2 linked regions of the Astyanax mexicanus genome follow. Each later gene encodes a partner of the first gene's protein in a complex. Links are inferred from orthologs where the notes say so. Each region holds a gene or a part of one and is shown in the gene's direction. Other genes may lie near its edges.

The links. Proteins that work in one complex are often made in the same cells at the same time.
Region 2: the proteins of pdcl3 (region 1) and cct4 are in contact, whole or in part, in a cryo-EM structure (PDB 8I9Q), measured with the Homo sapiens proteins. The link is inferred for Astyanax mexicanus from reciprocal best matches to the Homo sapiens genes PDCL3 and CCT4. Residues at the interface, in NP_076970.1 of Homo sapiens: Ala70, Ile71, Tyr74, Arg75, Arg78, Leu79, Trp82, Lys86; in NP_006421.2 of Homo sapiens: Val266, Gln271, Met272, Leu276, Glu279, Arg280, Leu312, His315.

The regions. Positions count from the first base shown.
Region 1 is NC_064418.1:366,112-369,866, forward strand, and holds the start of pdcl3 (phosducin-like protein 3), read left to right. Parts: upstream 1-1,016; 5' UTR 1,017-1,283; coding exon 1,284-1,289; intron 1,290-2,190; coding exon 2,191-2,308; intron 2,309-2,392; coding exon 2,393-2,483; intron 2,484-2,576; coding exon 2,577-2,720; intron 2,721-3,616; coding exon 3,617-3,755. UniProt on the Homo sapiens protein: Acts as a chaperone for the angiogenic VEGF receptor KDR/VEGFR2, increasing its abundance by inhibiting its ubiquitination and degradation.
Region 2 is NC_064428.1:33,705,872-33,709,626, forward strand, and holds the start of cct4 (T-complex protein 1 subunit delta), read left to right. Parts: upstream 1-1,017; 5' UTR 1,018-1,207; coding exon 1,208-1,316; intron 1,317-3,140; coding exon 3,141-3,193; intron 3,194-3,402; coding exon 3,403-3,492; intron 3,493-3,755. UniProt on the Homo sapiens protein: Component of the chaperonin-containing T-complex (TRiC), a molecular chaperone complex that assists the folding of actin, tubulin and other proteins upon ATP hydrolysis.

The DNA.
Region 1 (3,755 bases):
CCCGCCTTTACATGCTGTGATTGGTCGGTAAGTTGTTCTTGAGTGCAGCCTATGAGCCCGCTCATTGGCTCGCGGTGGAGTCGATCACTTCACCAAGGCAACCATAGAACGTTAGGAAGCGGACAAGTTTTGCGGTGTTTTGCAAAATTTTATCTCCCTTTTATCTCTCCTTTTATCTCCCGCCTTATCATAAAACAACCGCAAACCGCTAGAGGGAGCCATCGAGTACTAATCCGTAATAAAACTCCAATTAAAATAGTGTTAAACTACTAATAAAAATCCTTTAATTTTAGAGAGTATAATTAAACATTTTGCTAAAAAAGCGAAGGAAACCTACCTGTATATTTCTTTTTCTTTTTCTTTTTTTACAGCAAACGATTGGGGCATTCGACCGAATTAGTGCAATTTGCTTGTTGTAACTCTTCCAAAATAACCTTTTTTTTTTACTTTTGTCAACTATAATTACACATGCCCATAACTATTCAAAAATGTACTGGTCAAGCTCGGGCAGATTTGTTTATTTTTTTACAAGGTTTCTAAACCAAAGAAGTTTACAAAACTCATGTGACATTTTAAAAAAAGCATGTTTAAAAGCAATTCTACTATTTCCTTTTATTTTCTCTCAAAAAAGTCTTCAGGTAGGGTAATGTGTTTCGGTAACAGGACTGATTGAAACCAAGGGACACAACTAAAATGTGTATTTTAACTCAAATCTATCTATCTATCCATCCACCCATCCATTTATCCATCCATGTATACACTCCTTTAACTATTAAACGCTATTAGCTGGCATATTATTGTGTCAGTGTCCCACCCTGAGTGACAGCAGGGGCTGGAGACATGTCCCACCTCCCTTCACCACTAACCCTTACAGAACACATGTCCCACCTGCTACTGTCCCCAAATGTCTCTCCAGGATACCCCCCCTCTCTTCACCACTAACCCTCCCCAAACACATGGTACATTCCCTTACCTTATTTGGTCATACTGAACCGGTGCCACCCGCAATACAGTCCCTCTGAGTCACACCTCAGAGTTCAGCGTTTTTAAATCCTGTCAGCGGACTGACCGCGCGCATTATTCCTCTAAATAATTTTTATATTTATATTTATATATTTATATAAAACACAAGCTGACCGGGGAACAGTTTGAACTGCTGTAAAACCGGCAGGATTTTTTTCGGGTTTGTTTCCAGCCGGTCAGGGATCAGTGCGGCTCACTGTGCTCCGCGCTGTGAGACAGAGCTCCGGATCTGAGAGGAACTCCACCTTAAAACTTACAAAATGCAGGTTTGTCCTTAAACTAATCGCTTTTCTCATCAATGTGTTTGATTGTGTTTAAATGTAGCTGTTAAATAAGCGATTTGATTCCGTTTGTCGCCGATCCGGCGCTGAAAAACAGCCATTTATTCCCGGAGTTCACGGGTTATTTTAGACCAGACACGGAATTGTCAGTTCCACCTTAAAACTCTTACTTACTGACCGCTATCGCTGAAGCGCAGGGAATACGAGAGCCTCACTATTTAAGGTGGAATGAAGAATTCGATTGCGAAGCTAACTTTAGCTTCGTTTATTTTTGGAAGTTTTTATTTTTAGTTAAAAATGAACTATATCGCTTAAAGGGTTGGGAGTTAAAAGACTTCACAATCCTTTTTAATTGTTAATTCATTTATTTAAAAAAAATATTTTATGTAGCTAGATTGTTTTTTTGTTTAAAAAATGAGGTCTGTATTTTTTGGATATTATGTAAACCTAGAGCTGGACGATATATCAATATTTTATTGTATCATGATACATTTTCTTACCGTATCGATAATATGTTCTAATAAGCATGTCGAAAATATCGGATAAAAAATATTGGATGCTGTGCAGATTGAGTAAAATTCACTGTATGAAAACATATATCATTTCCGTCCAATGAAAAACAAGTATTAACGACTGTATTGTTATATTAATGTTTGGCTATATTATCTAGCTCTATGTTAAAAGTATATTGTGATATATATATATATTTAAATTCTTACTATTATTTTTGTAACTAGTACAACCACGACAAGAATCTTGGCATTCAATTATTTTTTGACTTGATTTTTTTCCCAAAAAATTAATAATAAGAATTAAAGTTTGCACTAAACTTAAGTGGATGGTTTTAAGGTAATGTCACTCTGTGTGTGACTGGCTTTAATTTTAGGACCCAAATGAAGACACTGAGTGGAATGATATTCTCCGGAGAAAAGGAATCCTTCCCCCTAAAGAGAAGCCGAAGGAGGATGAGGAAGAGGAGCAGATTATTCAGCAGCAGTCTATTGGTAAGAGTCTTCAGTGATGAATCTGAAAAGATTGAATGTTTTTCTTATTAAAACTGTATCTGACAGTTCTGTGGTTCTGTGCAGTAAAGACCTATGAGAGCATGACTCTGGACGAGCTGGAGGAGAATGAGGACGAGTTCAGTGAGGAAGACGAGGCTGCTATTGAAATGTACAGGTGAGTTTAGTCAGGAGTAAATAAAGCGTTAGTGAATCATGTTGGTGTTTCTGTTTGAGTGTGTCTTCTTATGCTTTGTTTTGTGTTTTTTAGGCAGAAAAGACTTGCAGAGTGGAAAGCTAACCAGATAAAGAACGTGTTCGGGGAAGTGAACGAGATTTCTGGACAGGATTACATTCAGGAGGTGAATAAAGCTGGCAGTGGGATTTGGGTGGTGCTGCACCTCTATAAACCAGGGTAAGTTTGGGTTTAACCCAATACACCAGTTGGTTTAAAACACAGTGTCCTGCATAGTCTTGCCTAGAGGACAAAGATATTCGTTATAATATCAAATCTTTACCAAATATTTGTGAAATCAACCCAAGAACAAAAGCAGGTTTGTTTTAACACAGTAAAAACACAGACTACAGTCCAATATACTCACCTCTGAACGGCGAAAGTGCTAGCACTGCTGTTAGCAGTTAATGCTAATACTGCTCTAGCCTTAGTGCTGGAGAAACTTCACTAAAACTCACCTGTATAACTCTGTACTTCAGTGGAGTGTCTTTACTGCTCCTTAATACCTGACTGATAGAATTCATACATAAGGAGCACCGGATTATAATATGTAGTGGTGATTTTTGGGAAATTAAAGGATTTTAATTGCTTCTTATAGTCTGAAAAATTCTATAATAATATTTCTTATGGAAACTGTTTAAACACTTCTGTATTTCTATGTTGTACAAGTAAATTAAATATGAGATTAACATGTGAGTTCCATGATGCCCACAGAAATGTACAAATATACATACGTATACATATTTAGCTACTTTCTAAAAAAACAAAAACAACACAATAGTTTTTATTTGTAAAAAAATATACTAGTCTATGGTTATGGTTGTTTCCAGAATAATTATATTTTAAATAAAATTAGCACAAAGCAATATAGGTATGATCTGATTCATCCTGTATAATTATATACCACATTATAGTCCCACATTTTAAAACATTGCAGTGCAGAGGGCACTTAAACTGATATATAACTTATTGATCTGTCTGTATCTTGTCTTCACTTTTATTCCTCTGTGAATCATATGAATTAATAATAGTATAATTTATATATATATATATATATATATATATTTCCTCCTCAGCATCCCCCTCTGCACACTCATAAACCAGCATTTATCAGAGCTGGCGCGAAAATTCCCACAGACAAAGTTCCTGAAGTCCATCTCCACCACCTGCATCCCCAACTACCCCGACAGGAACCTTCCCACAATCTTCGTTTAT
Region 2 (3,755 bases), on another chromosome or scaffold:
TTGTATAATAATAAACGTTTTTCTTCATAGTTGTGATGACTTTAGTATTAATCTACAATGCAGAACATTTTAAAATAACAAATGTGACAGTAAACCTTTTTGCTCTGGATAAAACGACTCCTCCCCTGTATTTTTTATCCTGGTTGCAGAACTGCAGTGGATCCATTCATTCAGTGAAGAGCATCCATACACACAAACACACTGCATCATACTGCAGATTATATACACTCACCTGCTCAGGTAACCAGTGATATTACTCCACAATACTCCTGTTAACCTATAAACACTATAAACTGTATAACGCTACTGTCTGCATCATAAAGAGCTGCACTAGGTGAGGAGGGTGCACTTCACTGTGCTAGTGTGTGTTTAGAACACTTAGCTCGTGTAAAGAGTGCGGGCCGCCATTGTGGGCGCGTTCCAAACCCTTACAATCAAGTCCACTAGAAATGAAAGTCTCTGTCAATGAATGCTATTCACTTGCTATTAAAAATAAATAAATAAAATAATAAATAAAATAAAATGTATTAGTTAAATAAAAAACGTTAAACAATTTATATATTTTTTATTTATTAATTTATTAAAATTAATTTATTAAAAATAAAAAATAACAGATTTTGAAACAACTGAGTATGTTTTTTCTTTGTTTGTATTTGGTCTCATGTTTTCTTGCATGAACATCAATGTATAGTAATTAAATTACATTTTTAAGATCATGAGATAATGAATATAGACCATGATATATATATATTTTTTTTATTTGGAATTTCGGAGAAATGTTGTTTGTAGTTTATAGAATAAAACAATAATGTTAATTTTACTTAAACATAAACCTATAAATAGCAAAATCAGATAAATTGATTTAGAAACTGAAGTGTTCTCTTAATGTTTTTCAGAGCTGTACAGTCCTTTAAAAAAAACATATCTAGTGCACAGGTGTTTAGGCCGCTTGTGCGCGGATTGGAACGCGCCCCCTTTTCTAGACAGGCATCTGTGTGAGACACCCCTCTACATCATCTGCACGCTCTCTCTGGGGTCCTTTCTGTCTCCGCGAGCGCCGGTGTTTCTGGAAGGTTCTGCTTGGTTTCGGAATCGTCCAGAATCTGCGTTCATCCGACCCGAATCCGCGGAACCGAGACCCGCAGACAGCCCGGTACCGTTCCCGAGACCCTCCCGCACCCGGACCGAGAGATATATCCGCGGGGAAATGCCTGAAGCAGCGGCGCCGAAGGGGAAAGGAGGAGCCGGCAGAGGGGCGTATGTGGACCGGGATAAACCCGCTCAGATCCGCTACAGCAACATCAGCGCCGGGAAAGGTGGGTCCACGGAACCGCGCAGACCCGCAGGAACCCGCCAGCTCTCGTTTACCCCCCGGTTCCGCCCGGTTTACCCCCCGGTTCCGCCCGGTTTACTGCTTAAAACACGCTTTAATACCCGCTGCAGTGTGGAGCTGGAGCTGCTCCACCTTAAAACAGATCACCATTTAAGGTGGTATTTGTGTGCTGCTGGTCAGTTATTGGGATTATGTAACTGTAGAATAGGTAGGGACCCCACCCCAGCATGGGTTTAGATGCGTGGGTCTTTGTGACGTCACAATACCCCCTTAAAACCACCTTAAGTTGCTCCTGTCAGCTCCTCTTTGTTCACATGGGCTGATCCTGCAGCAGCAACAGTTCAGCAGCTAGAAATCATCAAATACAGTAAATACAGCTCTAGAAAAAAAATAAGAGACCACTTCAGGTTCTGAATCAGTTTCTCTGGTTTTGCTATTTATAGGTTTATCTGTGAGTAAAATGAACATTGTTGTTTTATTTTATAAACTTCAGACAACATTTCTCCCAAATTCTAAATAAAAATATTGTCATGTAGTGCCTTTATTTGCAGATAATGAGAAATGGCTGAAATAACAAAAAAGACCTCAAGTTTTCTTTGCATTATAAGTTCGTATTCATAAAGTTTTAAGAGTTCAGAAATCAATATTTGGTGGAATAATCCTGGTTTTTAATCACACTTTTTATGCATCTTCGCATCATGTTCTCCTCCATCAGTCTTACACACTGCTTTTGGATAACTTTATGCTATTCACATCTGGTGCAAAAATTCAAGCAGTTCAGTTTGGTTTGATGGCCTGATTATATTCCAGAGGTTTTCAGTTTAAATTATTCGTGAGATATAGGCTGCACAGTGCCTTAGTAAGTGTTTTAGTGTGGGTGTGCGATACGGCTCTAAAGTAATATAAATATTATTTTATGATAACGATGTTCTTTTTGATATGAAAAGACTAAATATTTTAAACCAACACTACTGCAACAAAATAAAAATTTAATTTTATTACTCCATACAATATAATATGGCACACCTCTAACGGAGATATTAAAAAAAAAAAAAAAAAAAGAGATAAATGATCCAAAAGGTCATCTCCATATATCCAGGATGTGATAGATGTGATCATTAGGAGTGGGTGATATGGCACAATATTTCAGGGTATCCTAATATCGTTATACAATATATATATGTATATAATCAGTCCTACTATATATATATATATATATATATATATATTGTTTTTTTTGTTTTTTTTACGATGATGGTCTTGATGGTCTGGTATTTCCTTTTGTGTTATATAGCTATCCTACCTGTTCAGATCATATTGTATTTTAATATTAAATCACATACAAATTTGGTTTTAATTTCATAGGCTGTTCAGACTTGATCTGGATACAGTGTAGAATAAATTCAATGAATTGGACTTGGACTGACAGTTTAAAACATGACTGAAGATGCATTCAGCTCTTACTGTGATCCATTCTCACCTCTTCTAACAAAGAAAGACATTATTAGGTATGCAGAGTGATTGCAGAATCATATTGGTATCAACCAATGATTTTCCTTTTTTTAGTGTTTATATATATATACTTGCTGATGTATTTATGGTATGCCTGAAAATGACCAATCAACACTGGCCACTCTTCTACAATTGGCAGACGCTGGCTCATTTTAAAATTATGATTAATTATTATTTATAAATATGTATATTTCTTGATATATACATGTACTTGTCACATCAGTGTATCTCCAGGCATCATTATTAATTAAGAGCTGCTAAACTCAATAACGACTGTCCTGTTTTTGATTGGCAGCTGTCGCCGATGCCATCAGAACCAGTCTTGGGCCGAAGGGTATGGACAAAATGGTACGTCATTCTTCTCTCTTCACTTCCCTGTTTCTAAATCCTCACCCTGAGCTTCCTGTCAGTCAGTCAGTCAGTCTGAAGGCTGGTTTTAAATGTGTGTAGCGGCTCAGAAATGCGTGTGTTTTATACAGTGTGGAGATGGATCAGTTTGCTGAGTCATGGTTGGTTTTCTATCACTCTGTTTATGAAATAACTGTTTTGTTCTTCAGATCCAGGATGGTAAAGGAGATGTGACCATCACTAATGATGGAGCCACCATCCTGAAACAGATGCAGGTGCTGCACCCTGCTGCCAAAATGGTGAGATATAAAGAGGTTTTTTATTTATTTATTTTTTACTTCTACTTCTTACATTTTCACACAATTATTTGAACTTTCCACTCCTTACATTTTAAAAACAGCCTCGTTATTCCTATTTCATTTCAGCTCGTAGTGCACTATAGGACTCTGTGGGCGTGGCCTAAGCTTTTGTTCTTTTTTTTCTCCTTGCATTGCTTTTACTTTTATACTTTAAGTAGATTTAAAATCAGTAAATTTACACTTTTACTTGTGAAAAGCTTGTT